Linked DNA regions of Arabidopsis thaliana. The protein of the gene in region 2 interacts with the protein of the main gene of each other region in a biochemical or structural test. Each region holds a gene or a part of one and is shown on either strand. Other genes may lie near its edges.

Region 1 (6,841 bases), on a different chromosome or scaffold from region 2:
AACGAAAACAGCTCAATAGCCGACGAAACAGAGAGAGAGAGACAGAGAGAGAAATACCTTCGGATAAACCGTAGACAGAATCCGGGAGGCTAGGGACGTCGGAGACGAGCACAGTTCTAAGAGCCATTTCTCAAGAGTAGAGATATAGAGAAGAGAGAGTAGATTAGGGATTTCGAAAACGTTTTTGTGTGAGGATTTGTGGGTGTTTTTTTGCAGAGTATTTATATTGAGAAAAAAGGGATATGAGGAAAAAGGAGGAAGGAGCTGGATATGCGTGTTCGAATATTCCATTCCACGTCAGCAATGTGCCTTTCTTGATGGTTTCTTCCCGCCTTTTGAGGGATCTGGTACGAACACAGAAGAGTACGGTTCTCATCTTATACGTGGCATTGAGTCATTGGGAGATTATGTTATCTTTTCCACAGCTTAGTCATTGTCCCGTTAATTATGAAATTTTGGTTTTTTTCCAAACTTAGTGAATATATTATTGGTTTCATTTTAAAGATTCCTGCCTAAATATATATTAAAAAAAAATACAAATTTGAAATTTCAGACTCAAAAAACAACAACAAAAACCAAAATAACCTAAATTATTGTGGAACAAAATTTGTGAAAATAATACGTAAATTGTTCGAGATATATCTTGAAAAGTGCGTTTGACATAAAGGAAAATGTAGTTTCATTCAACTCCAAATATGTTTTACACGTTTTATTAATGGTTTGAAATATTGTAATGCAACACAACTGTATAGTTGGTCAAATTTGCAGCAATTAGACTAGTAAGCTTTTTAATTAAAATAAGATTTACTGAGTACTCATCCACGAAATCTGACGAGTGTAATTACGCAATAGAGAGTCAAAAAATAAAATTACGCAATATAGGAATAGAAATAATTTATTTATTCGATTCTCCAATATTTATGAACCGTGATTTGCAAGACACAAGATTTAAAACAAGATATTAAAGGTGATTTCAAGATCAATATAACTGTTAGTTTAATCAATTCTGAGTAAAAAAAGATTATATTAAATTCTGAGTTAAAAAAGATTATAATTTAAGCTTGATTTGCAAGTTGAGAATCCGTTAATAAATTGTGATCCATTTTTGGAAATTGTGCTTTTGAAAAAACCCATTTTTGGAAATCAAGTAAATATGGATTGCATTTTAAAAATATTGTATCCACGAAAATCTGACGTATAATAATGCAAGATATACCTGTCAAGATAATGAGAAAATTGATTTATGGTAGGTTCGTGGATCAGATCAGATCCAACAACATGTTAGCTTTCTTGCTACTTGGATCCACGTCATAAATTGTCAGACGATTAAAAAAATTTCCAAGCCGAACAAGTGGCTGGTTAACTCGTTACCTCCTGTCCGGTTGGGGTAATATGGTTAGGTAGGTCACTAGTTTTATGTTTCGGTTTGTTACGGCCCACGTAAAAGTTAGATGGCCCCAAATTAATGGACCGGCCCAAATAATTGAGAAGCAATCAAGTCTCGTGGTCTGACCAAAATAATTTCATCAAAGTCAAAATATACCAATTTGAATATTTGAGCAAAATCCTGAGTTCCTAACAACATAGATTATACGGATCTAAATCGGATAATGACACAAACGTCATTCTCGCAAACCATAATGTTTATATGGTCCAAAATCTTTACACAAAGAAAAATGTAACTTGTGAAATTTATAATTTCGAATTATTAAGTTTATTTGTTGGAACCGACGTTACAGAGCAAAACCATTAATGATGAAGAGTGGGAAGCAGAGCAGAGCATTCGGCGCATTAATGGAGGAAGACAAAACAAAACCCATTAATTGTTTTCTTGCAAACTCCCATTTCTCTTCTTCATCTTCTTCCCTAATTAATGCTCTCTCTTTGTTTTCGTTCTCTGTGCAATTCGCAAGCATTCAAAGTTCATGTCGGACTTTTAGAAAATTCAAACACTTCAAAAAAAACAAGAACACATTCAAGAAACGGAAACATACTGGTCTATAATTTATCTATGTGACAAACACTTGACAAGGATTTAATTTGAGATTAACCCATTAACCAAATTTAGCTAACTATCATGGGTTTGATCCAAAATTCTCGATTCTGAACCAAGTTTGATCATTTCGCGAGTTAGATTCTTCTTCTCTTGGCCTCCCAATCCCGGCGTATTCAGAACAGAGCAGGAATTATTGGATGAGGTGAATTCATTGACTGATGATGATAATGATGATGGGTTAAGGTTGGGGTTTGGTTTCGGTGGTGGAGCTGCGAAAACTGGAATCACTGATCTCATTTGAACCGCTGGAGCCAGACTATAAGGGTTTACGCTACACCCTCCGACAAAGTTGTATCTGTTCATGTCGGAAAAGGGCATTTGCTTACTCAATCTGGTTGATGTTTCATTGACTTTGGCTTTGCTGTTGATCATCTCTGTCGCTGTCTCTGTCTTAGCTTCTTGTGATGATCTGTCTTTGTATTGCTGGATAAATGGCAAAATTTTGGAGGATTTAGGTGGTGGTGGTGGGGGAATTAGAGAGATGAAACTGGAGTTTTTGTGTTGATTCGGTGTTGATGTTGATGATGATGAAGAAGCTTGATTGGTCAAAAGATTGATCCATCTCAATCTCTCAATCAACAAATCCTTGTTTGAATCTTGTTGACTTGTTCTTCTTCTCCATTGGTTTGTTGTCTCTCGTCTTCTTACTTCTTTGGGTTTAAATCTTGAGAGTACTCTTGCTACTGCTTCTTGTTCCTTCTCTTCATCTTGTGAATCCAAGCTTGACACTGCACAGTAGAGAAACAGAAAAATGGTTTCAAGTAGAAAAGTGAGAAGCTTTTTTGGGGTTGATGGAACAATTTGGAAGATAGTTATATATACTTTTCTTCAAAGAGGACCAAGCTGCAATGGCTGCGTTTTTCTCAGCTTGTTTCTTTGTCTTTGCTGATTCTCCTGTAAACGTCATCCCAGCAAGTTCAACAGTACAAGAGAAACCTGGGAAGTGACAAGATCCTGATCTCACACTTGTGTACATTGGTAGATCAAGACCAGCTCTATGTGCTGTCTCTTGAAGCAGGTTCTTGTAAATCCCTGTCTCATCCTTGTATAAAGAGTGACATGAAGATATACGATGTTACTCTTTTTGCATTTTTTTGTGTATGATCAAAACCAAGAAGAAAAGACAGAGAACTTACAAGAATCTTAGCAGTTAGAGACTTTGAAGGGACTCTAGACGAAAGGACATTAAGGGAAACTTCAGCAGCTGCATGCTCAGCTTGTCTGAGAGTAGAACAGTAAGTGGGACTCTCAAATATCTCACCATTGAAGTTAACAGAAGCTTTGAATCTTGGAGCATGATCTGGTCCTTCTCTTATGCAAGTATATGATGGTAAGTTGAAACAACTTCTCTGTGCAAGCTCTTGAAGCTGATTCTTATACATTTTTTCCCCTGTAAATACACCAAAATCAACCAAAGTCAACTCCAGAAACCACAAATCTCTTTTGGTAAAGTCTTAAGAGAAGACAAACGAAAAAGCCGACCTGTTGAAATTTGGTATCTTAAGTTTTGGCTATTTAGTGTTTGAAAGTAAGTTTAAAGAAGAGAGAGAGATAAAAAAGAAAGTTTTTGCAGAGGTTTTTGAACTCTTCACTCACATGGTAAGGTACTAAAGGTTCTAAATAAAGAGTAGAAGAGGATGCTAAAACAGTAATAGTGACATCTCAATTGAAATAAGGTTAGTCTTTTTATATAATTTATAACATGTGCATACAAATAACAATTATGAACAATGCTATTGACTCTCTTTATTGTCTTTGTCTATGATGTTTGACTGGTCAGTTACCTTCGTCCTCAGTTAATAACAGTTATTTTTTCATAAATGTTAGTGAAAATGATTTAGTCTGATACTTTGAGGCACTTATTAATGTTTAGTTTGACCAATTTGTTGATTATGTTCATTGTGTTTTGTCTTTGTTCAATGCCAAAAAAACTTTATATTATTGCTAATCTTCAATTTCCTAAACCAAAAATGTTGGCTTGTGATGTTAAATCTCTAACCTTTAGACTTTAGAGCTTTGAAGAACAAATAAGAAGCCTTTAGAGCTCTTTTGCATTTATTACAGAGCCGTGCTTCAATGAAGACTATAATAAGAGTTGTCTGGTCTTCTGGTCCACTTGTCTGAAAATTCAGTTTCTGCAATTTTTATCATATGCAAAGTACAGTATGAAAATCGTCGGTATTCATTTTGTTTTCTCATTCTGTGAAAGATAAGTCATAGATTACACTAACACACAATGATTTACGATTTAAATGTCTGAAGAACAACTAAAAATACTCATAACATCTGAAAATATCACACCAATTCACAATTGATTCCCGTGTAAACACACAACACATCAATACATCAAACATTTAAAACACCTTTCAATTTTCTCTTAACCTGCTTCTAAGCTCTTCTTGCTGATAAGGCCATAACTTCTGGTGACATTTCCCAGTTTGCGTTCCTCGGGTGATTGTTTGGCCTATTGATTTGCTCATCACCATTCACTATGTTCCCCATGTCTGGTGATAACTCGTTTAACTCATTGTCGTTAACATGAAACCGTTCATTGTTATTGCCATCTTTGCCATCACCATGTTCAGCCATTGCCCAAACACCCTTCCTCCCCATTTCAATATCATCATTGGCCTTTCCCATGTTTGGACTCATAAAACCGCCAACAACTGATCTCGACGGCATTGGATTTTCCCTTGGTACCATAGCCCTGAAGTTGTTCTTTGAAGGAGGTATTGGAGAAAAAAAGATTTCTTTGAAGTTATCAACCACTCCTTTGTTATGTGGGTTGCTATGCCGATCATAACTGTATCTGAAATTCTCATATGTAGTCTACAGAATAAAGAAAGATCAAACGATTAAACACGCATATCGAATGAGAGAGGTTTTTTCAGAAAGAGGCAAATGATTAGGGTACCTGATTTGTGCTGATGAGATAGAGATGGAAACATGTTAAGCCTCCAACGAAGAATGTAGATATGAATGTGTAGAGTATCAGAGCAATGGAAGCTGGAGTTTTGAGCATTGCTTTCAAGATACTTATATCTTCGGACTCTTTGATCTTCTTTATGTAGACACAACAAAAGGCGAACACATATACACAGAGAAGAGTCGTGGAGAAGACAAACATGAAGAAGAATCGATAGTTTCTCTGCAAATTCCCAAGGAGAATGAGATGAATTATATAGACTGATGTCAGAAACTAACGGACAGGAAAACGAAAAACCGAGAAACTTACTTGAGCAATACATTGACCAACCCAAGGACAGTGATGGTCAAACCTTTCTACACAGTTGTTGCAAATCGAACAATGTGAGCAGCGAGGCGGTCTATAGAGCATGCAAGTATCACAGTACTTGACCTTGAATACTTTTCCATTAACTTCCACTTCTTTAACACGAGGCAATCTTGGAGTTTGGCTTGTTCCCGAGCCCGTGTTGCCATCAACAACTTCTGGTTCTGGAGGATGAGAATTTCTTGGGATAATCCCTGGATCTCTTCCGGATGTAAGCATCAGCAAAATCAAATCCTGAGGGAAGCATTAATTGTTATGAATGATCCAGTCACAAAACGTTTTACAATGCAAAGCTAAACTTTTGTACTCACATAAATGGTGAAGACAACAGCAACAAGGATTATTGAGACTCCCCAACTATCAGAGAAGTCATCCATTAGTTTGCTAGCGACGAAGATGCAGAAAATTGTAACAGGTGCCACAATAAGACTTATGGTCAGACCAAGTGATCTTACATCCGGCCCGAAGATAAACCTTCCTTGAAGACAAAATATCTGCAGAAATGGGACAAATTTAGAAAATATGTTAACACTTTGGGTAGAAGGATTTAAGGAACAAACCTCAAAATGTTTAATTCCACTAGGTTACTACTAAACCAGATTTAAATTCGACATTGAAAGCAATATACAGACAGCATCAACTATATAACCTTTGTATGAAGAAGCATTCCTATAAATGTAGCAAGCATATTCAGATAATGTCCTAAGGTATTGATTAAAGGTAAAGATTTCATGATTAAATGTAGACAACTACCCAGAAAGCTACACTTCTAACACAAACCCAAGTCCCAATTTTTAAGCTTTACAAGATTGGAAACAGAGTAAACTGAGCCCATGAACGGATTAATAATTAATTTATACACAATAATAGGAAAAATAACAGAAAACTAGCTCAAGTATAAACACAGAAGCAAGTAATTCCAAAACCTAAAGCTTTCACATTAAAACTCACATTGCTTCCTTTCCATGTTTGGTAAACCCGTAAATCACAATCGGATCCAAAACCGGATCTTTGAGGAGGCGTCACCACATACATCTCTCTCTCTCACTTTCTATCGCTTGCTCTCGATTTCTTCAAATGTAAGCAAAGGGGAAAACACTAAAACGAAGATAACGAAAGAAGAAAAGAGAAAGCTTTTCAGTCTCCGTTGAAGAAATTCTTTAGATTTCGGCAAGTCTCCGACATGAAAATGAGAGTAGTCAGAGAATTAGATTTGCTCTTGGCTTCTCCAACTTCTTCTTCTTCCTTCACTTTTTTTTTTTCCTGCAAATAAATATAATATTTTAAAAATCGACTGTTAGCAGCTACTGGAGTCAGTCTGTCACCGTCGTTTTAGTTCAGGTAAAGTACTTTTCAGAAGCTAAAAGTGAAGAACGAAATAAGCTGACGTGGCACTTTTCTAATGGTCTGTTTCCTTACCTTGAGTACTCGACCTTGTTATTCATAAAAGAGATTCGATAACGGAAAAGAAATTTAAACATTTTGTTTTACAG
Region 2 (7,294 bases):
AGCAGTTCCAGGAACAGGCTCACCTTCATCATCTTGGTCAGCCTTCTCAGCGTCTTGACCACTTCCTTTGTCCGGTAATAGCATATCGGTAAATGCACCCATCTCATGCAGTTTCTTGCAAGCAGCTAAACATACAGCCTACATATCAAACACGCAATACTTCAAGACATGGAACACTGAAAGAAAATAACAAGTAAGATAAACAAACAAACTATTATGTCCACCTGTTGTGCAAGACGCATTGAACTGCAAACAGGACCCTCAAGTATTTCAAACGGTGCATTGCAAGGAAGCTGAAGCCTACATGAATATTCCGTGTGGCCCCCAGGCTTTTCATGCTTCTCCATGCTAAACTCAGGACGAAGGATTGCATACCTGAGACACGAGAGAGAAGCAATCCATCATCTCATACAGGAAAAGGAGAGGTCATTAGGACAATAAAAATTATCGGCAAACTTACCTGTCACCAGGAAGCTGAGAGCAGTAGAAATGTACAAGACCAACCGCGGAATTCAAGCTAACCATGGCACCAGTTGCCTCCACCTTATAAACTGTACCAGGCACAGCATCAATTGAGATTAATCTCGATGTATCTTTGAGATGACTAAGATCAGTCCTTTCTATTGCTTCTTTTCGAAGTGTCTCCTCACTGTTCCTAGCATTCCTTAGGAACGCTGCGTGAGATACATTTCCTCTGCAAGTAACACAAGTTGACATATCAGTACTGATTTGGTGACCAGTAGTTACAAAAATCAAAATGTAGTTCTTAAAGCTTTTTATGTACCTCTCAACCATGAGTATGTAGTCTGATCCAGGCTTTCTTGCCCGGCCACGAGACTGAATGTATGCCAGCACCGTCTTTGCAAGGTCGAAACGCATAACAACGTTACATTGCCTAATATCAAGTCCTTCCTCAGCAACGCTTGTGGCAACTAACAGTGTCACCTATCACAGTAGAAAGAGGAAATAGTAAGACATTTCAGTATAAGATAAAAAAAAAATATGTCTTAATGAAAGACAAAAAAAATCATACATGCCCATCTCGGAATTTGGAAATTGTATCCTGCATTTGAGATGATTTCATCTCCTGGCTGTTATTGTGTCCAATCATGCTGGCACACCGTATAAAACTAAGCGAAGGCAGCTCCGCAAAAACCTGAAAATTTCCAGGCTCAGAGAGACATAGGCAGAAAAATTATACACAAGAAAATAAATTGTTTTTTTCACTTTAATCCTAACCTTAGGAAGAACCAAAGCAGCAACCACCCTCTCAACGAAAACAATAGCTCGAAAATCAGCTGTGTGCTGATATTTGAGGAGTAGTTTGATCAATGATTGTACTTTTGGAGTAACTTTCCCATCAGCCACTGCGGCGCCTATTACTTCATCAACGTGCTCCCCTCCCGAGACCACTAAAACCATAGAGCTCTGTTAATATTGGATTTCTAAAACCGGTAAAAAGCGATTAGACAAAGAATGTGATTAATACTTACCAGGATCATCAGGGAGCTCTCCCTCCTCCATCTCGTCATGTGCATTACCATTTTCTGGTTTGCCAACTTCCGCCGCGACTTTTTCAGCAGCAGCGCCTTCCAGAAGCTCACATTGCAAGAGTGACACCACCTCACTGAGGTATGATTCTTGAAACTTCACGTCGACTTGGAAATTCACCCTCTCATCACTTTGCAAAGCAGACAAGAATGATTGTCCCACCTTGAAAGAAGACACAAAAATTATATCATATGAAAATAACATATCCATTTCAAATTATCGAAAACTATTTACTAAGTTGTTTTTTTACCTTGTAAGCACACCATTGACCCAATTCAGCAAGAGTATAATTGATAGCTCTAAGTTTATGAATCAAATTGGCAGCACCATCGCTCTCCGTTCTTTCAGAGACGCCATAAACCTGTCTCAATTCATCCTTTGCTCCAGCATCCCTAGCCCCCATAAATTGCCACTTGCTTTTCCTTGAACTTGCTTGTGCCGCTTCTTCAACAGCTGCAATCATTTGCTTTATTGTCTCATGAAGAGACCACATAGTAGCAGCTTTGTCATACTCGACGACTATCTCTGAAGGCATAGGCACATGTTTCTCTAATTCTTTTCGATCTTTTATAGTACAAACCGTAGAATCCAACTTGGTCTCGAGGTTACGTATCTTTATCGCACAATCTACTTGGCTTGAAACACCTACGTTTACAAACAAAAAGTGTCACTTTCAAGAACATTGGCAAGCTTAGAGAACTGTATACAAGAAACAATCAGTACCCTTTAAATTAACAGGCGAAGCAGTCATTCCAAAGATGGCAGGTCTTTTATCTTTAGGAGTTGTATGGTAAAACTCTGACATCACTAAAGAGTATGGATGTTTCTTGACAGCGTGGTGACACTCGTCGAGAATAAGAAGATCAATTGTTTCCATTCTAATGATACTGTGTCTCAGTATATTCAACAGAATTTGTGCTGTCATAACTAGAACCTGCGTAGAAGAAAATAGAAAAAAACTCGTTAACTTCAAGAACTGATTCATATAAAAGATCAAAGCTGGTATGAAAAAGAAGCATCAAAAAGCAACCTGCTTAGACTCAAACTCTCGTTGCCACCTTCGAGAATCCCAAAAGTCCTGTCCCATCTCACCACAATAATGTCCAACTTGAAAACAAGTTTGATTACGGATCACTTCTGCTTGCTGATAACGTAAGATAAATCAACCAACCAAAACCAATAGGTAACCAATTTTTTAAAAAAGAATACAAACATGTTTCTTATTAGGCGGTACCTGATAAACCAAAGGCACTTTGGGAACCAAGAACACCGAGAGCATTTTTCTGTTCTGGCTCATCAGATCCTTATGAACACTTTTAATAAGAAGAATCGCGATAAGTGTCTTTCCAGCACCGGTCTCAAGGAAAGCAATCGTGTTTTTCGCTTTAGCTTGTTCAAGAACATCCAACTGGTATCGCCTTGCTTGCTCTTCCACAACCTTCTCTTTACGTTCTTCAGGCTTACTCTTGTTCTCCTCTGCCTTGACATCGCATTCGCGGTTTCCACCACTCACTTTCTTAACATCTCTTTCATGATCAGCTTCCCAAGTCCCTGACCTATAAACCAACTCATTGGAACCAACTTTATCCCTCTCCCAATAACCCCTAACTTCTCTATCTCTACCATCTCTTCTGTAATTGTTACATTCCCTTTTCTTCTTATTGTTACCCGCCTCGTCCCAATTACGAGTACGTTTCCTATTCATAAACCTATCTCCCTCCCTAGAATTATTAACATGCCCTCTACCTGAAAGGTTACTCCTTTCACTCTGATAACTACAAACCCTAGCTCTCTTCCTATCCTTGTCTCCTTCCTCTTTCGAGAATTCGTCTCTCTTACCGCCATTCTTTTGCAACCCATTCTCCTTCACTGTCTCCTTAGCAATAACCTGAGGAGTTACAGTAACCTCGTTGATTTGAGAATTGGTATCAGAAACGCCATTGTTTGGTAAGCCTCCACCGTTCTTGATACTATCTAAAATGTGATCAATCCCACCGAAAAAATCATTGATGACGCCGTTTTCATCAGTGGATTCATTGACAGCAACAGAGGAAGGATCAAATTCAGACACGAGATCATCGATAAGATCACAAGAGATGTCCTCGCAAGCATCTAGCCAATAAGAAGGCTTTATTGTGGCTTCTCTAGGCTCATCCTCCATTACCATAATTCTATATAATAATCAAATCAAGAACATAAGAAAGAGGAGAAAAACTCACTCAAGAAAACCAAATCCCCAGAGAAGAAAACAGAACCAAAAGCACGAGAATTGAATAAACCCAGAAAAAGGGGTGAGAGAAGAAGAGTGTTTTGTGACAGATTAGGGTTAGATAGACCGTACGAAACACGCCAATTTTGAAGTTGTTGTTTGCAGGTAAAAAGGGGTCACGAAGAAGAGCAAGCAAAACCCTAGAGACCACTACTATTGATGATTTCTTTGTAAATAAATAGGAATTGAAAACCCTTTTGCAAAGTGTTTGTGATTCTGAGATTCCACGGTCTATCGATCCCTACTCTGTTCTGTTTCTCTCTTCGTCTTCCTCTCTCTTCTGGTCTGTTTTCCACTTGCTTGCTTCTGTTTTGTAGTAATATTTCTCTCTTTTTTTTTTTGCAATATTAAGATAATTGCCATTAAAGCAGAAGGGTAAATAATTTATTCGACTTTGTAAAAAGTAACTTATTTATTTTATCAGTTTTCTTAGGGTTATCTCCCGAATAGATATCATATGTTAATTTTAGAAGAAAAAAAATTAACAGATGTATTAAATTTATCAAGTAAAAGTGTAAAACTGAAAACTAAAAATGAAAAGATTTCGATATTATTTTATAAAGATTAAGTATTTATATCGAAATCGAAATCTTTTCATTTTTAGATTTCAGTTTTACGACTTATTCCACGCTTTTTACTGTTTCCATGTAAGTTAATATTCGATGAACCAATGAGATACGGACAAGTGGAAAACTATAGTGATTGGTTGGTTCTAAACTTCTAAAATGCTTTTGTTCTGTCATTCTGTGGACCGACTCGTGCAACTTCTTTCCCATAAAAATAAAAATAAAAATAATTATTCTAACTATTTTCAAAAACCTATATTACTTTTTATGATATGAAAATCTTCGTCGATCTCATCTCTTCCTCTCCTTTTAGTCGAGACTCTTCCTGCAAAGCCGTTAAAAAGTATTAACCAGTTTGCACTACCTTTAGTTAAATGTTAAGTAACGCTGCTTTGAAACTAGGCATTGCCTTGCAGAATTGATGTCCATTTGGCGTTAAAGTCAATACCAAAGTCACTAACGTCCATCAATCTATTAATGTGTGTATGGTACACTGATAAAGCAAAACTCTTCGTTTACCTTGATAATGCGTTTACTATTGAAAAGTTGATGAGAACTAGATACGTCTCCAAATCATTATAGTGGTGGTATATCAATGCGTTTTTGTTCTAGATCATTTCCACTCAAATAACACCTTTAGCAAATGCCATCGACTTTTGGCTAACGCCGAAAACAAATTCTTCTTTGTAAGCATCCAACACGCATAGGCTATTTTTTATGGATATTATATAATTTTGAAAATCAACAAAAAGTTTTAAAATCACTATGAAGAAATCACTTATGTTTTACATCTACTTTCATCTCTTTCCACTCCACATATAATAACTAATATAACTACTAGAAAGAACGTAACAAATGTCTGAAAAGTCGAATTTTCTACAATAATTGAATCCAAACGGCAAACGCAATTCGATCTTGGTTCTGTTGCTCGTTTAGTTAACTAACCAAAAACCAAATAATTCAAATAAAAAAATACGCGAAAATATATTGAAGATAGAAGTCGAATAGTGAGGCCGAAGAAACTAAGATATTGTTTTGTTCTTCTTCCAGATAATTGCATAAATCTGCATGGAAAGCGATCTAAAGTCGATCGAATAATATTATTTATCAGATTCGTAACTTTAAGACAAATGCATCTTCATACACTGCCTAGCTTACAATTCACGTTTATACTTTGTTTGGTATTTGATTTCTTATTGTGGACATGGACCTCACTGTATGATTGAATCTTAAGATTCTCAAAGGTGCATTTTGGAAAAAGTAATACAACATTTTTTCGTGACCAATTCATTGTTTCCTGTCATTTTTTTCTTTATTACCATCCCATTCTCATGAAGCAAAATGGGGGTACGGCCCATTCAAATCTTAAGCAAAGCCCTATATTAGCGTATCAAATGAGCAAGCGACATTGAAAATGGGCCTGACCTGACGCCTACAAAAACGATTTGAGCCACCACACCAATAAAAGCTCTTTAAGCCCAAAACGAACCAAATCTGCAATATATTAAAAATTTGGATTACAAACTTTTCTGGTATAAAAGTCTCTTTCAAAATTTTCGGAAAATTAAATAGCGCCGTACTTCGTTGTATACGTGAGTGAACCCACAAAAATTGACCTACTTTGGACGGTTCATGGAGAGAGATCCAACGTAACGAGACTCTAAATACAGTCACAGGGTTCACGTTTTGCAGTGACCGACTTAAAATGACAAGAGCGCCGTCTCTTTAGCAGAACCCCACCCACCCGAAAATCCAAGTCCATAAAAGATCCGAGTTTAGATTTGCAGAATCAGCGAATACAAACAAGAATAGTAGCCAGGTGGTCGGTTCGGCCGCCGCCCCAGCCTAAACCGGGCCCGGTCTAGTTAACATCAATACCAATCCCTTTCCGGGTAAGAAACTACGGCGCGTGTATGTCAAGCACCTTTCACCCTTTTTCATTAAATGCCAAATTCCAATTTATTTATGACGACATCCTCTTGTTTTATCTATCTTACATTATTTTATGGGTTTTTGTTTGTGTTCTTTACTTCATGAAAAATAAAATAAAAAAATGTCTAAACCTAGAAATATATTATAATTGTATAATATTATACACATACCGACCAAAATTAATTCAAATGAATTTTTCGTAACAAATTTTTTTTAGGGGAGAGAGAGACAAGGACAGAACAAAAGCCTGCGAAGCCTCCAACGGTATTCATTGTGGACCAACCTTAAGTGTGGGACGACTCTATCCATCTACATTCATTTTCTCATATATGATTTTGTCCATAGCTCAATTTAGCACGTCATATTTCTATTTTCTATACTTAAAAAATATATATATATATATATATATTCTCCGATATAAAGTTAATCAATATGAAGAAATATTTTATCGAGTTGGCATGATTTTACCTTAGAATAAGAATATGTTTGAAATAATTATCGAGCAAAAGGAGAGCATGGTGATTAGGGTTTATATATATATGTGTACATACCCCACCGATACTTGTCTCGTTTCATTTATTCCTCTTTGAAACGTTGCTTTGATAATTCATATTCATGGACCGTATCCGTATCCGTATCGGTCCATTCATTCTTGATTTCTAGTGCGACTTATCACAATAAATCGAATGGAAATAACACAAACTAGTTACTTGACTATGAAAACATAATTTACCTAAAAATATAAATATTTTAATGATGACAAAAAAGAAAAACAAATTATTTCTACATTGATTGAAATCAAAAACCAACTTGATTGGAGCCTTATTTTTTCCCCCCTTCATCACTACAGATCTCTTTAATTCGTTGCACATAGTACAGTATGAAAGAAAATAAGTTGGAATCGTAATGATTTGTAAACAACTTGTTTTATGACGATCTACATATAAACACCAAAACCAATGTTGATTTTACTACT
Region 3 (7,530 bases), on a different chromosome or scaffold from region 2:
TTTTTTTTTAATCTTTCTACTGGTTTGACCCCCTATATTGTGCTAGTACCACCCACCTTAATAAGGCAATAATGTAATTGTACCCAGAAACCCTTGAGAGAAAGCTATTTCATTGCCTTTATTGTTATTAATTAGCTTGAATAGTCAAAATTGAGATGATGTAGACAAAAATTGAAACTATTTGAAAAGTGAGCAATAATATTAAGGTTTTGATGGAAGGATGGAGACGAGAGTTGGTTGTTACTTGTTGTGTGGTTTTAGTTTAAATGCCCATCACTGTGGTGCTCCTTCCTAATTATTTTATTTCTAATTTTTCATTTATTCTCAAATTACAAAATAAAAAAGTTTGTATTCCTTTTAAAAGATAATTTTTTACTTACTACATGATAATTTGGGCTATGTGCCTATGTGCAAGACAATTATCATGTGTATATGTGATTTTTTTTTTTTTTTTTAACTTTAAGCAATACTTCTTATATGCTTAATGACATCAGTCGCATAGTTGCATAATGACATCAGTCGCATAACAAAATTCCGCATAACGAAAAATACATGATGAAATAATCAACTATATATCCACTTATTTACATATTGAATTTGTACTATTTTTTTAGATGAAAAGGCTGTCATGTGTTTAGATAAGTACTATTATGCAAATTTTGTGTTAAGATAAGTATTATGCAAATTTCTTTCTTGGTTAAATTCTTGCATAATCGCATCAAAAACGCCAGTATGTGTTATTCATTGGAGCCATAATTCAATTCTAGAAAATATTTATTAATGGTTACTTCCTCTATTTCACTATGTTTGTAGTTTAAAGTTTTTTTACACAGATTAAAAAAACACAAGATTCTCATTTAATTTATCTATTTTCTATAAATACATCATTAACTACACCTAATTGAACCAATAAGAAAATAGGATGTAAAATAGAATTGACCAAAAATTATTAAATATATTTACTTTTGCATAGAAAAATAAAAAGAACACTTATTTTGAAAGAAAAAAAAGTTCCTTAAACTACAAATATAATAAAACAGAGGGAGTATAATTAGTTTTTAACTTTTAAGTTTTACAGAGTGATGTATTTTCATGGTTACTAAACTCACTGGCCTATGCAGTCAGTGGTTAGTTCATTACCATATTTGACAAGTTCTTTAATGGTATGCTATTATTGTTTTAGATATCTTATGACTTAAACTCTTAAGCGAATCCAAGAAATCCAGATTAATAATGCCTCTTCAGACAAAATCTGAATTTGTTTTATCTTCTCAAGACATTACGGATGAACAAGGGATTAATACAATGCTTCTAATTAAATGCTCTGCTTAAATGCACCTGCTTAAAATATTATGACCCCGAAGTAAATGTATTTAATTACGAAGTTTATAGTTACACATTAATTACTTTGTAAATTAATTCGTCATTAAATAGGTAAGGAAATGGTGACCAAGGGAGAGTATTCCTCTCGTTTTCTTCCATCTTTATGTCCTTAAAATCGTTGGGGTTCGCATTGGACATTCATTTGGATATTTATTTCTTCCTATTATTCCTTTTTATTATCCGTTTGTTGTCACATTTGCATCTTAAAACGTAATGGCAATAGTAAATATTACACATATTATTAACAACATTGTTCTTTATAATCTAACTACTCACAATTTGTAGTTTAATGATATCTATTATTACTATCGAATACGATATAATATACTAAGTTTCAGTACAAACAATTTATTCTAGCTTTCTGTTAGTACAAACAATATTATGTGCATATAATGAAACTTTTCATGTGGTTAAATGAGTTAATATAAGTCGCAAGAAAAAAGAAAACTAGTTAGTACAAATTTATGTGGTTATGTGATGGATCAGTCAAACTTCATCAACTTCGGGAGATTGAAATAGAAAAACGAAAACAAATATAAAAGTAAATGTTGGCCACTAAGCTTAACTATGATTATGAATTCCACCTTTTACTACTGCAAATCACTCACAGCGTTTATTACGATAATGCCCCTTATCTCTCTCTAAACGTAATAAGCATTTTGGTAATTTCATGATTTCACATTTGTTCCTCCTCTCTCTCTCTACCCATTGACTTGTGTGGACATGGTTTCAAAATTCATCAAAAGCTAAATTATTCTTTAGAGATGTGTGAACATTAAGTTTTAATATATGAAAATAAAGTACGCACTAACTTCTTAGGTTTCAAGCTGTTTTCTAGTATTTTGTTTTTTCTTTTCTTTCCATTTTCATATTCCTTTTTATTAGAATACGACTTCAGACTTCCCACTAATTCTATGATTAAGTTAAAATTATACATCAGTCGAACATATTTTTATTTGTTTTGATGAAATATTTTATTTAACTTCTACTATTGAAGAAAAGCATATAGATCACACTATTGATATATAAGAAAAATTATACTAGAAACACATCTATGAAATTTTGTTAATTTTTTTTAGAGAAACTTACTATTATTTTCTTTAACCAATTATTTTTTATAAAACTAAAATGAATCAATGTGGTAGATCAAAATTGGAGACCGCACAAATAAACAAAAGATTCAACATAGAAACAAGTTAAACCCAACTTTATAGTGAAAAAAGGAGGAACAGCCATGAGATTGAAGTTTCATGGAACCAAGGTTGTAGCCTATCAAAAACGTATGTGGGTTGGATAGATCAAAATTAGAAACTTTTGTTTCAAATGGTAAAAGCAGTTATTTCACAATTCATAGATAGTTGAATGCTAAAAAAAAAATAGAGAAGATTTGGTAAGTATTAAAAATATAAAAATTGATCGGAGTAGATGTGAATCATGTGATGACCAAAAAAGATTTGACAACCAAAATTGTCTTTTTTTTTGGTGTTTTATGTATTCAGCCGTTTCCTAAGTGTTATTATAGACTTTACGGTTTCGTTTTCTCCAAAAAAAGTTTATGATTTTTTTTCACAAATTCAAAATGTATCTATTATACATAGTTGATGATGGAACTTGTGCGGATTTTTCAATTTTTTGTTTCTTTTGACCGAGATTTCAAATTACGAGTTAACGTTAAACTGAGAAGTCGCATGGATTACACATTGTTTAACTAGCTACACATGATTAGAACAAGTTAAAAATACTAAACATATTGTTTTTTTCGCCAAAAACAAGAAAGTTAAACCGTTTTGACGAGTGTTGTTATAACTTCGACCGTTTCGATGAGTGTTGTTATAGATTCTGCCGTTTCGTTCTTTCCATAATTCTCTTTTAACTTCTTCTCTGTTATTACAAACGTTAACAAAACTTAATAAACTAGAATTAACCTGTTTATTCAAATAGACTTATTTTTTTCATACCTTACAATTATACAAATTGTTCAATATATATTTAATCTTATGTTTTATGAAAATTCAAATTATAAAGCTTACAATAGTGGTGGATTATAGTTAAATGTTTTTTTTTGTTTTTTAAATCCATAAATTAAGATACATACAAAATTAGTATAGTATAAAAAGGAAATATAAAAATATCACATCCATGCAGGCTAACGTTCAGTTGACTAGCAGCGATAAAAGCAGATAATTAATTCTCACATTTAATTTTATTTTATTTTTTCCATTAAAGCAAAAACCCCACACTCTCTCTCTCTCTTGCTCCTCCCTCTCTTCCTCTCTCTATCTCTCTCTGCAAAAACCCTAAATTTCCTCCGATTTCACCATCTTCAATCTCCTTCACACCCCAACTTAGCCTCTTAATCACTCCCCAAGCTAAACCCTCCAACGATTTTCCATGATTCGAAGATACAGAGCCTTAGCGATGAAGAAAAAGCCCTAAAAACCAAAGCTTTGATCTCTCCGAAATCGGAGTTTCTTTCTTTGTTTGGTAAATTTGGTTTTCGAAATGTATAAGAACCAGCTACAAGAGTTGGCTCAGAGGAGCTGCTTTAATCTTCCTTCGTATACTTGTATTAGGGAAGGTCCTGACCACGCGCCGCGATTCAAGGCTACTGTTAACTTTAACGGCGAGATCTTTGAGAGTCCTCAGTATTGTTCTACTCTTCGTCAAGCTGAACACTCTGCTGCTGAAGTTGCTCTCAATGCTCTCTCTAATCGTGGTCCTTCTCACTCTCTTGCCGCCAGGATCTTGGTTTGTTTCGCTTCCTCTTACTCTCTTTGGCATTTTACTTGGAAAATTGTGAGCTTTGAATGCTGAATTTGCATGTTGTTTTAGGTGCTTTAGGTCACTGATGGGTTTAGTTTGTGGTTAGGTTTTTACTTATTAGGGTCGGTGCTGAGATCTCTGACTTGCTTTTTAGGGATTTGGGTTTCTGGGTTGTCTGATTAGAGAGAGTGATCTTCACATTCACTGATCTATGGATCCAAAGTTTGAATCTTGTTCTTACCCATTGATTGGTTTGGGACTTAAATGAGTAGAACAAATAACTTTTGTGATTTTGGATGCATGTTTACTTCTGATGTTTTGCTTGTTGCATGACTGATGATACTTTTCTTGGCTCTGTTCTTTTGGATTATGGTTTGTGTAGGATGAGACGGGTGTGTATAAGAATCTTTTGCAAGAGATAGCTCAAAGAGTGGGAGCTCCTTTACCGCGATATACTACTTTCAGGTCAGGTCTTGGTCACCAACCTGTGTTTACTGGTACTGTAGAATTGGCTGGAATTACGTTCACTGGAGATCCAGCTAAGAACAAGAAGCAAGCAGAGAAGAATGCTGCAATGGCTGCTTGGTCTTCCCTAAAACAATGTGAGTCCTAATTCTGATTTTGTCAGTTTTGATATGGTTTTAGTTTAACGCAGGCGTTGATCAAATGTAACTCTGCTTACATGGTTTGATGTTTTTTATGTTCTTCTTGGTAACAGTGGCAAAAGAAACATCAAGTTCAATGCCTGAGCCTGAGAACATTGACGAACTAGAACAGGTGATTATAGCAAGAGCTTTGATAAACTATCGTATCAAGGAAAACATTGGCACAGGAAGCTCCTCGAGTGCCCCAGTTCCATTTGCAAAGAAGTTCTTTATGCAGAACCTTAGACCAACAAGTCCACAGCCTTCTCCTGCAACCACATCGAGAATCTTACCCTTTATTTGCCCAAAACAACCTTCCAGAAGCAGCAGATCATCCTTAGCAGCAACTTCCGGTATTGACAGAATTATGGCAGCAGCCTTGGAAAGCCGCAGCTACCAGCGGCCTCAGCAGAGATTTGCAAATCCGCCTTATGTTCCTATGAGGCAATTTAGATCGCAATGCCATGGGATGGCTCCACCTGTCACAATCAGAACCGCTGTACCGGTCTTCTCTGCACCTCCAATGCCTCCTCCACCATGTACAAACAACACTCAGCTACCTTCTTCTGTGTATGTCCCATCGCTGATGCGAACTGCACCACCTGTGAGGATCGCGCCGCCTGTCACAATCAGAACCGCGGTGCCCGTATTTGCTTCTGCGCCACCGGTTAGAATTAGAACCGCTGTGAAGCCCACAGTTGAGGCAGGAGAAACCCGCATATCATCAGTCCAAGAAAAGGAGAGTATACCAGTCTTGCCTGATAGTCTTGAAATTGGAGTAGAAGGAAGTACTATAACAATTACAGATTGTGAGAAAACAGCGTCAAAGGAAACCGAGAGAGCAGAGTTTAAGGATTCATCGAAAGGAGAACCGGAGACAGCAAGAGAGCGACTGGAGAACCTAAAGATCTGATGCCTTGAAGACTGTCTCTGGGTTTAGTTTTTTTTGAGGTTGGTTTCTGAAAATTGTTACATTAGTAATCTCGTTCGTTATTATACTCGGTGGATCGAGTAGTTTGATAATCCGAAAGATTTGTATTATATTGGGGAGTTTTGGGAAGAACCTGGCCATCTCTGGATTGTAGAATTGTATCAGTTTCGCTTCCTATTCAGTTTGTTTGTGTCCTTTTTCTCATCTTTTATAAATCTGTTACCTATCGTTGTTCCAGCAGAATCAAGCTCTTTGTCTTACACGACAGCTATGACACATATCTCAATGAGTCTTTGGAACTTCGAATTTCTCCTTTAGCTAACAAATTCAGTCAAAATATTTCAGCACACGAGCCATATGTTTTATACAATATAGTTTTTGCAATTCAGTCAACATATCATAATAATGCATTCAACATCTGAAATTTCTTCAATCATACAACAAAGCCGACCAGATAGTTTCATTGTACAACAAAATGAATAAGGTCGTCGTCTACAAAACAATTCCCAGTTTCCAAGTATTGGGTTTGAAGAAAGTTGGTTCCAAACCCAAAACAAGAAAGAAGAAGAAAAATCAGTCACTATACACCGAAAAACACACCATGAAAACACATCTTGCTGAGCAGTATCGTGTCAACGGGATGCAAGAGACCAGAAATTGAAGAGAAACGAAGGCAAAGCAGCGAACCAGCTTATGAAAGCTAATGCCGTTGATGTTTCAAACTGAACACAGTGGTTTTGTGCGCAGCTATTCAGATCGTTGTCTATTAGAACCGTTATGCCTGCCGATGCACAAGCTGCTGCAAAAGTCAGCGTCGATGTCACCTGAAATAATGTTGAAAAATGCTTATTTGTACACATCTCTTTTCTCATACGATTTTATTAAATTGAGAGGCTAAATGGTAAATCTCTTACCCCATCACCAATTGCAAACAAGCTCACAAGTCGACGGTTCTGTAGAGAGCGTTTGACCATAATGGCATAGACGTCAACCATGGCTAGTGCAAGACTCCACAAGCTCTGCAGACCAGTAGCTGCAACTAGGTAGCTGATGAATCAAATACAGTAAACCATCTTAGCAGATTCTAACAGTCACCAAACATGGTTTAATCACATAAAAGCATAAAGGTTTAACCCAATATACTACCCATCCCGTACAATCGGTTCAACTATCACATTATGTCCACAGCTTAACACTGCTACTACAAAGATTCATTCATCTGGACTCTAGAAAATTTGCAACAGGAGACCTACATACAAAGTACACCAGTGCCTGTCACTAAGGCAAACTTACCTAAGTAACCACTACCAGACACCATGATGCAAAGCATGATTAATAACCAAATTAAACAACAGTGACCAAATGAAAAACATGATATGATAGCCATTTTATCAACATTAACTTCTCGAAGAAAGCTCATCTAGTTAAAATGATCTTTATGACCATGATATATCCCGGATTAGCAGCTACATCATATTACTGGGCACCAGTAATAAAATCCCCTATACACAGCTGTTAACTAGCTTCTAATAAGCCTTAAAGATACTAATAGACTAGCAAGCCTCATAACTTATCATATTAAGCCACAAACCCGATGCTTATTTTGTATTGCACTTTCGGAAATGGAAACAACAAAAAGCAGATTCCAGTTCATAGTGTATAGCATATTGGAAGAAAGATAGGGTGCTATCACATCCGATTCTGATAAATACAGATTCTCACAGAAGTTTATAGTAAAGCATATATTCGATTTCTAATAGACCAAAGTCTTACCAGAAGGCGGTAACGGAAGGAAAATCACTAGTAGAA
Region 4 (7,681 bases), 3.1 Mb from region 2:
CAAGAGGAATGATGCACGAGAGAATCTCTGTGGGTGAGATTGAGAGAGTGTGCATCTTAGAATTTCGATTCTGAACATCTCTGAGACTCTGACTCTCAATTTCTCCGGAACCGGCTATTTCCAGTGAGTAGGCAGTGACTTTTGAATGAAAAGTCGGGTTCTTAATGAGTAACCGGACTTCTGCGAAGCTGGTTCGTTTTGGTTAGCGTTTAATTTTCCGGTTCAATGCGTTATTATTTCGAATTGAATCGAGGAAGACTGTAACAGAAAGGCACTTGGCAACATCGACTAGGTTATATTGTAAGATGCTATAATTAGAAGGAAAATGTCTCCTTAAATAATCTCGAAAATTTGTTCACCAAAGAATTTGACTAATCACTAAATAAAGATGTTAAATGTAAGTAACAGAAGAGATAATGAAAATGATAGTTATAAACGAGATAAAAAGATCTGTTTCATAAAATATCTGGAGATTCTACAGAAATTGTAGCTAAGACACATGAAGAGAAACTCAAATACGGAAGCAACAACTGCAAAACACTGGGAAGATAGAACTAATAGCCTCCCTTGAGATCGTTGACGACATCGTACGGGATTGGAGTGACAGTCTCCAAGGTCATTCCTTCGACCATGAATCCTGGTTTGGGTCCTTTAGGCTGTCTCTTGGTGCTGATGGTCTCACCATTGGCTTTGGCTGCAGCCTTGAGCTCATCATTCTTCTTCTTCCTCAGCTTGAACTCCTCAGCACATCTTGATTGCTGCACATGCTCCACACGCACATGAATCCTCTTCCTTATGATCCTGTTGCCAATCTGAAACACCCCCAACATGTGTCAGTCATAATACCCAATATAAGTAGTACTAGCAAAAAGATTTGTGTTATTGTCATAGGATAATCCATAATCCATATTACACAGTAACATCTATAGAGAGACTTATAAAAACAAGATGAGTAAAAAAGGCCAAAGTTTAACAATTAAATAGTCATGAAAGAAAACACACTAGCAGTTTAATGAACACGAGTTGAAGTATTGAATAACTGGGAACATATGAACACTGCGTGCTAAGGCTAAAGACTAAACGAGACCAAAGCAATCAACTTTCAAATCTGAAACAGGATCACGAACCACGCTACTGCATAATAGAAGATAACATCTTTGAGCTAAAACTCAAAATCTGAGCTCAATTGTAGCATAGAAGAAGATTTACATTCCACAAACCTATACTCAATCACACATTTCTACATCAAAGCAATAGATCAACAATCCAAATAGCACACTAAGAAGCTCAAATCCTAATTCAATGACACAAAAGCTGAAGAGATAGGAGAGTTCATCAGACCTGTTTGTTGACTTCAACACCGACGGCGCGTTTAGTGACGTTCCAGATACGACCAGTACGACCGTGGTAGAACTTGTGAGGCATACCCTTGTGGATCGCACCATTCACCTTCACATCGACGTAATCGCCGACCTTGAAGGTTCTCAGGTAAGTCGAGAGTGGAATGTAACCCTTCTTCCTGAATGGCCTCGCGAACAGATCCCTCGTTCTCGCCCGAACTCCATGACCCGCTGGCATTTTTCCTCCTCGTGCGACAACTAAAACCCTAGATCGCCGAAGAAATGAAATGAGGAAGGCAGAGTGTATTTATATCTCTGTTTTGAGATTAGGGTTTCGTAAACGGACCTGTTGGGTCAGCAAGTTGGGCTTCTGTTTTTTAGAACCAGCCCACAAATAATCAAGAGTGAGGGTAATGAACCTTCTATTGGACTTTTGTTTTTTAGAACCAGCCCACAAATAATGAAGAGTGAGGGTAATGGACCTTCTGTTGGGTTTGTGTTTTTATAACCGGCCCACAAATAATGAAGTTTGAGAGTAATTTTCATTTATATGTAGATATGAAGCTTCTGTTTTGCAACCCCACATTACTTTATTCGAATGACTCAATCGACCACCAAATTGTACCAATCATATTAGTTTTGATTTTCCGCTCAAATATTACTTCTCTTCAATCTGTGAATTACTACTAGACTAGATAGGAATCACAAAATGGCTACGTAACCATATAGTAACTATGACAAACTCACAAGACTCCATCTTGACACTGTTATGCGTGGCTTGCTTCTGTCTCCACACTCCCAAATGCTGCCTCCTTTAACCCGCTCATGCATGAAGAAGATTCCAGATTTGGCGTTGTCTCAATTTTCTCTGTCTCCACACTCCCAAATGCTGCCTCCTTTAACCCGTTCATGCATGAAGGAGGTTCCAGATTTGGCGTTGTCTCAATTTTCTCTGTCTCCACACTCCCAAATGCTGCCTCCTTTAACCCGTTCATGCATGAAGAAGGTTCCAGATTTGGCGTTGTCTCAATTTTCTCTGTCTCCACACTCCCAAATGCTGCCTCCTTTAACCCGTTCATGCATGAAGGAGGTTCCAGATTTGGCGTTGTCTCAATTTTCTCTGTCTCCACACTCCCAAATGCTGCCTCCTTTAACCCGTTCATGCATGAAGGAGGTTCCAGATTTGGCGTTGTCTCAATTTTCTCTGTCTCCACACTCCCAAATGCTGCCTCCTTTAACCCGTTCATGCATGAAGAAGGTTCCAGATTTGGCGTTGTCTCAATTTTCTCTGACTGATCGTTTTGACAATGATCAGTAGGTTGAGGAGGGATGATAATATCTTCAGGATTTTTAGCTACTGTGCGTTTTCCTTTCTGAGCTTTCTTCTTGAACTGAGCCTTCCTGGCTTTAAGAGTCTTGACGGTTTCTTTAAGCGGGATAGCTGCCTGTATTGTCTTCTTCTCACAAGGAAGTACAGTAAGCTGAGTGTTGTAGTTGGCAAGGTTGTTTTTAGTGTCTGACTGGATCGCTAAAAGAGCAGTTCTCCCAGCGCTAATCTCAGCATCTTTTTTAGTTCTTGTTGCAGCTCCTGTGTACTTTATGCCTCCAATCTCTACAGTACATGTGAATTGTGTAACTCTCCCAAGAGTTTCGACCTTCTGGCACTGATACAATGGAATCGCGTAATTCATCTTTTGAGCGTATTCTTGAAGTAGGTTCTTGCATAATCCCGTTTCGTGCTGCATTAATAAGCCATTCAAAGTTAGACAAGAGCAATAACTTACAGAAACAGCCTAAGAATCTTCCCTCTAGAAGTTGGCAATACACATAAATCCGATAAGACAGAAGACACTTTATTAATGAGTGGATTCTTTAAACTCTTGAATCTCGATCATTGTCCAACCAAGAGCCTAGACAAATACAGAATGCCCCCTAACGTATTCTCACAGCTCCCCTTTAAACCTTCAACTCTGAAACTAACCATGAGCTTCCCTTTAAACCTTCAACGCTCAAACTAAGCATAAGGACTACTGCTGAGATGGCAAAGCTACAATTCGCTGCTAAACCCCTAGGCTAGGTTCAATAGTTTTGCAGTGAACTTAACAATAATCACGAGCGAAATAAGAAAGATGAGGTGCTTACAACAGGTTGTGAAACACATTGGCTTAGCTCACTGGATTTTGCTAATTCCCGGAGAGCAACCTCGGCAGCTGATTGCTCTGCAGCCTTACGATTGAAGAATCCAGGCAAAGAATTATATCTGACACCATCCAGTATCACAGTCGATTGAAATAAAGATTTGTGTGAAGGGCCTTCTTTAACGATCTCATAAACAGGCGTTGGGAGCTTGTACTTCTGAGCATACTCCTGCAACCGACTTTTGAAAACATAGCAATTGGAAACACCTGAGCAGGAAAAAAACTTCAAAATGAGGCAAAAGATAAAACAGAAACAGTGATGATGCTATCCACTACAGCATAAATTGCAAATAAACTCAAAACGACAACAGGGAACAGCAGTGAACGAGTTCTGAATAAAGCTGACGACTTTCACAAAGAAACTATACTTATCCAAAAGGGGAGAGACAGTTTTAAACCAAGCTTCTATGTTCCCTAACAAATTGAGTCAATAAATCATCATCTCAAAAGAGTAAACTTGCCAATTGCCAGAGAGATCTACGCTTAAACCCACAAGGGACAGATACACTTGTAAATTCTAACTAATCAAAACACTGCAATCCAATTTCCAAGAAGAAAGAAGTGAGTAAAGAACAGAAGAAAGGGGAAAAAGCATGATCTGGTTTCAAAATTAAAACCCGGAAAAAACAACCCATGAATGTTGAATTAGAGATAATGCAGACATGATGGTGAAGAAGAAGAAGAAGAAGAAGAAGTAATTCACCAGAGGAAACATCAGTGGAGGTCATTTTCACGAGCAGAATGTAGCTGAAGAGACGAATAATAGGTTAGTAGGGCACGGCGAAGAGCAAGAAAGAAACGTGCTGCTGCTGCGAAGAAGCAGAGAGAGAGAGATGATTCTTCTTCACCAAAAACCCTCTCCCCTCGACTTCCTCCTCTTTACTGATTTTTATTTTTGTTTTTTTTTCACAAGGGCAAACGAAAGAAGGTGGTTCTTAATTGTTATGTTACAAATGTTAATATTGAATTTAATTTCAAACCTTTATAAATTATATTATATTCCATAAATTTACCTTTTTGGTCAAATTTTCCATAAATATAATTTACTTGTGAATATTATATGAAAGCAAAATGTTTTTATCTTTGAAATATTTAATTTAATTAAAAAACTAATTACATATAGCCTAATTTCGTATTTCATATGTAGTTAACTAATGTATATATCCACAATTGATTAACCTTTTTATGGCTAACTTTATTCACTAGTAATCCCTTTGTTATATTCACACAGTTTTTGTATTCACAAATAATTAATTTGTTCTCCAAGTAAACATCAATAATGATAATAACCGTTTAATAAAAAATAAAAACAATTTGAGCCCATATTTGAGCCCACTTGAGCCTATGTCCCTTAACAGAAAAGAAAAATATTTGAGCCCATATTTGAGCCCACTTGATCCTATATCCCTTTACCAGAAAAGAAAAATATTTGAGCCCATACTTTTCGCTTCTGATAAGCGTAGAATAATAATAGTCGAATTTACCACCTTCCTTTTCGTTCCTTTTTTTTCTTCTCTCTTCCGAAACACCTCTGCCACGCGAGTACTCTCCACGCTCTTCGACAGTCGTGACCATCTTCTTCTCCGATCGTCTTCACCGGTTTTCTTGGGCATTCCCTCGTGCGTAAGTCTCTGTCGTTTCGTTTCGTCTATAACTCCCTCGGGTTTTGGTGAAATTTGATTCCTTTGTCCTGTTCTCTGCAGAATTGTTGCAATAAATACGACGAAGATGGTTGCTAATAATAATACTAGTAGCAATCGCAGGAAGAGAATCATTACTGAAGGCGACATCGCCACTCTTTTGCTGAGGTAAAAATATCTCCTTTTTTTGTTTTCTCTTTCCGAAAACGTTAGTGGATTTGGGTTTAGTCAGTGTGGCCGGGGTTTTTGATTTATTGACGCAGATATGATATGGAGACGATACTGAGAATGCTACAGGAGATATCTTATTGTTCCGAAACCAAGATGGACTGGAATGCGTTGGTGAAGAAGACCACTACCGGAATTACTAATGCTAGAGAGTACCAGTTGCTATGGCGTCATCTTTCTTATCGGCATCCTCTCCTCCCTGTGGAAGATGATGCTCTACCTCTGGTACTTATTCTGTCTCTCCTCTTTCCACTTTTGATGAATTGTAAAAGACTCAAGTTTATGTTGTAGAGTTAGTTAGTTTTCTTCAATAAAAACTCACTACTACTTTGTGTTATCAGTATCATCTAGAAGTGAGTGTGATGAAATACTAGTTTATGTTCTATGTGGCAGTGGATACTAAAACTTCTTGGTAGCATTAGGGATCGATGAGTGTCTCTCGCTGGTGTAGTTTACAGATTTTTTAAACGAAAGTTGCCTGTGCAGGACGACGATAGTGACATGGAGTGCGAATTGGAAGCTTCTCCTGCAGTCAGCCATGAAGCATCAGTGGAGGCTATTGCACATGTCAAAGTAAGAACGGAATCATAGATTTCATTCCCTTGACAGAATTTCAGAATCTGAAGTCCCTAGGCTCTATTCAGGATAACACCTTGCTGTTTTCTTAATGATTAGTGTGTTGGTTACTTGTTCTGCATATCAATCTGTGCTTATCCAGAGTTCCCATTTTATCCAAATATCATTAAGTTTTCGTTTCTCTTGTATTCCCAGGTGATGGCTGCTTCATATGTTCTAAGTGAGTCTGATATACTCGACGATTCAACAGTTGAGGCTCCCTTGACTATAAACATACCTTATGCTTTGCCTGAGGGTTCTCAGGAACCATCAGAGTCTCCTTGGTCGTCAAGAGGGATGAATATCAACTTTCCGGTCTGTCTTCAGAAAGTTACATCTACCGAGGGGATGAATGGAAATGGTTCAGCTGGTATTAGCATGGCTTTTCGGAGGAAAAGGAAAAGATGGTCTGCTGAGGAGGATGAGGAGCTGTTCGCCGCTGTAAAGCGATGTGGTGAAGGGAACTGGGCTCATATTGTTAAGGGAGACTTTAGAGGAGAGAGAACCGCCTCCCAACTCTCGCAGGTTGTGATTTCTCTTATTCAATATTGACTGCTCTTTTTTCATTAGTTTCTTTGAAGTCATTTTGTAGTGTATCTTATAGTCTTGTTCTTTGTATTACAACCTGTTTATGCATCATTATCTATATTCTGTTGACGATGAATGGTGGATATTACCTTCCCTCTTTCGTGTTGTTGGAGGTGGTGGCTCTTTACAGACGAAGTACCACTTTGGTAATTACTCTAGAAATATATCTGTTGTCATCTAGTCTGGTATGGACGTGGGGTTTTTCCCCATTTTTCCGGGTTCGAATCCCGGCAACAGATTCTTTGGATGATATGAGTAATAGTCTTTTGGCAATCATAGAAGGTAGCTAATAAGACTAATAAGACTAAGTTTTATGATATTTGTATCCATCTTTGTATTTTTTACGCATATACTTTCCATCTGATAAAACTTAACAATACTTTAGCTACTTGGACGAGCATGGGACATTTTGCAATTGCTTACTCTTTTTCCGTTATTGGTGGTAACAACTGACTATTTTCTTTGTAGAGGTGGGCGCTTATAAGAAAAAGGTGTCACACTTCGACCTCTGTTAGCCAATGTGGCCTACAAGGAACTGAAGCGAAACTAGCAGTTAACCATGCATTATCTTTAGCTCTGGGAAATCGGCCCCCTTCAAATAAGCTTGCAATAGGTACAAGTAGCAGAAGATCCTTCCCTGCTAATTCTAGTATTTATGTTATAACAGAGGATGCTTTGGTTTGGTTACCACTGGCTTGTCTAAATCAGAAATTAGCTTACCTGTTTAACTGCGGTGGGGTTTGTGGTTATAATATTTGGGTAATTTTCTTTGTTTATTTGGTTCATCAATTAGACTGCATTTTATGCAGGTCTTATGCCAACGACGTCATCTTGTACCATCACAGAAACGGAAGCGAATGGGGGAAGTTCTTCTCAAGGTCAACAACAGTCCAAACCAATTGTTCAAGCATTGCCTCGGGCAGGAACATCACTTCCGGCTGCAAAGTCTCGAGTTGTTAAAAAAACAACAGCAAGCTCCACTTCCAGATCGGATCTTATGGTAACAGCTAATTCAGTAGCTGCAGCTGCATGCATGGGTGATGTATTGACTGCTGCATCAGGACGAAAGGTC

What was found.
Region 1: the proteins of DCL1 (region 2) and DRB5 interact in far-western blotting, tested with the Arabidopsis thaliana proteins (one study listed by BioGRID).
Region 3: the proteins of DCL1 (region 2) and DRB2 interact in far-western blotting, tested with the Arabidopsis thaliana proteins (one study listed by BioGRID).
Region 4: the proteins of DCL1 (region 2) and HYL1 form a complex in vitro, tested with the Arabidopsis thaliana proteins (4 studies listed by BioGRID, with this or other methods).

What each region holds. Positions count from the first base shown.
Region 1 is NC_003076.8:16,435,144-16,441,984, reverse strand, and holds DRB5 (dsRNA-binding protein 5), read right to left. Parts: upstream 3,721-6,841; 5' UTR 3,539-3,720; intron 3,447-3,538; 5' UTR 3,439-3,446; coding exon 3,193-3,438; intron 3,099-3,192; coding exon 2,879-3,098; intron 2,785-2,878; coding exon 2,069-2,784; 3' UTR 1,930-2,068; downstream 1-1,929. Other genes in the region: GDPD2 (PLC-like phosphodiesterases superfamily protein), read right to left, coding at 58-127; AT5G41071 (uncharacterized protein), read right to left, coding at 1,734-1,916; AT5G41060 (DHHC-type zinc finger family protein), read right to left, coding at 4,445-4,885, 4,971-5,204, 5,292-5,582, 5,660-5,842, 6,300-6,383. UniProt on the Arabidopsis thaliana protein: Binds double-stranded RNA. May be involved in RNA-mediated silencing.
Region 2 is NC_003070.9:19,943-27,236, reverse strand, and holds the start of DCL1 (dicer-like 1), read right to left. Parts: upstream 3,822-7,294; 5' UTR 3,719-3,821; coding exon 2,786-3,718; intron 2,696-2,785; coding exon 2,582-2,695; intron 2,486-2,581; coding exon 2,275-2,485; intron 2,197-2,274; coding exon 1,802-2,196; intron 1,714-1,801; coding exon 1,494-1,713; intron 1,413-1,493; coding exon 1,240-1,412; intron 1,157-1,239; coding exon 1,034-1,156; intron 946-1,033; coding exon 785-945; intron 695-784; coding exon 461-694; intron 376-460; coding exon 225-375; intron 139-224; coding exon 1-138. UniProt on the Arabidopsis thaliana protein: Ribonuclease (RNase) III involved in RNA-mediated post-transcriptional gene silencing (PTGS). Functions in the microRNAs (miRNAs) biogenesis pathway by cleaving primary miRNAs (pri-miRNAs) and precursor miRNAs (pre-miRNAs).
Region 3 is NC_003071.7:12,132,271-12,139,800, reverse strand, and holds DRB2 (dsRNA-binding protein 2), read left to right. Parts: upstream 1-3,559; 5' UTR 3,560-3,885; coding exon 3,886-4,131; intron 4,132-4,528; coding exon 4,529-4,748; intron 4,749-4,864; coding exon 4,865-5,703; 3' UTR 5,704-6,069; downstream 6,070-7,530. Other genes in the region: AT2G28370 (Uncharacterized protein family (UPF0497)), read right to left, coding at 6,354-6,545, 6,636-6,768, 7,495-7,530. UniProt on the Arabidopsis thaliana protein: Binds double-stranded RNA. May be involved in RNA-mediated silencing.
Region 4 is NC_003070.9:3,135,853-3,143,533, forward strand, and holds HYL1 (dsRNA-binding domain-like superfamily protein), read right to left. Parts: upstream 4,502-7,681; 5' UTR 4,267-4,501; coding exon 4,242-4,266; intron 3,746-4,241; coding exon 3,483-3,745; intron 3,080-3,482; coding exon 2,108-3,079; 3' UTR 1,797-2,107; downstream 1-1,796. Other genes in the region: AT1G09680 (Pentatricopeptide repeat (PPR) superfamily protein), read right to left, coding at 1-78; AT1G09690 (Translation protein SH3-like family protein), read right to left, coding at 555-812, 1,342-1,578; AT1G09710 (Homeodomain-like superfamily protein), read left to right, coding at 5,267-5,346, 5,442-5,631, 5,893-5,979, 6,178-6,546, 7,078-7,342, 7,419-7,681. UniProt on the Arabidopsis thaliana protein: Double-stranded RNA-binding protein involved in RNA-mediated post-transcriptional gene silencing (PTGS).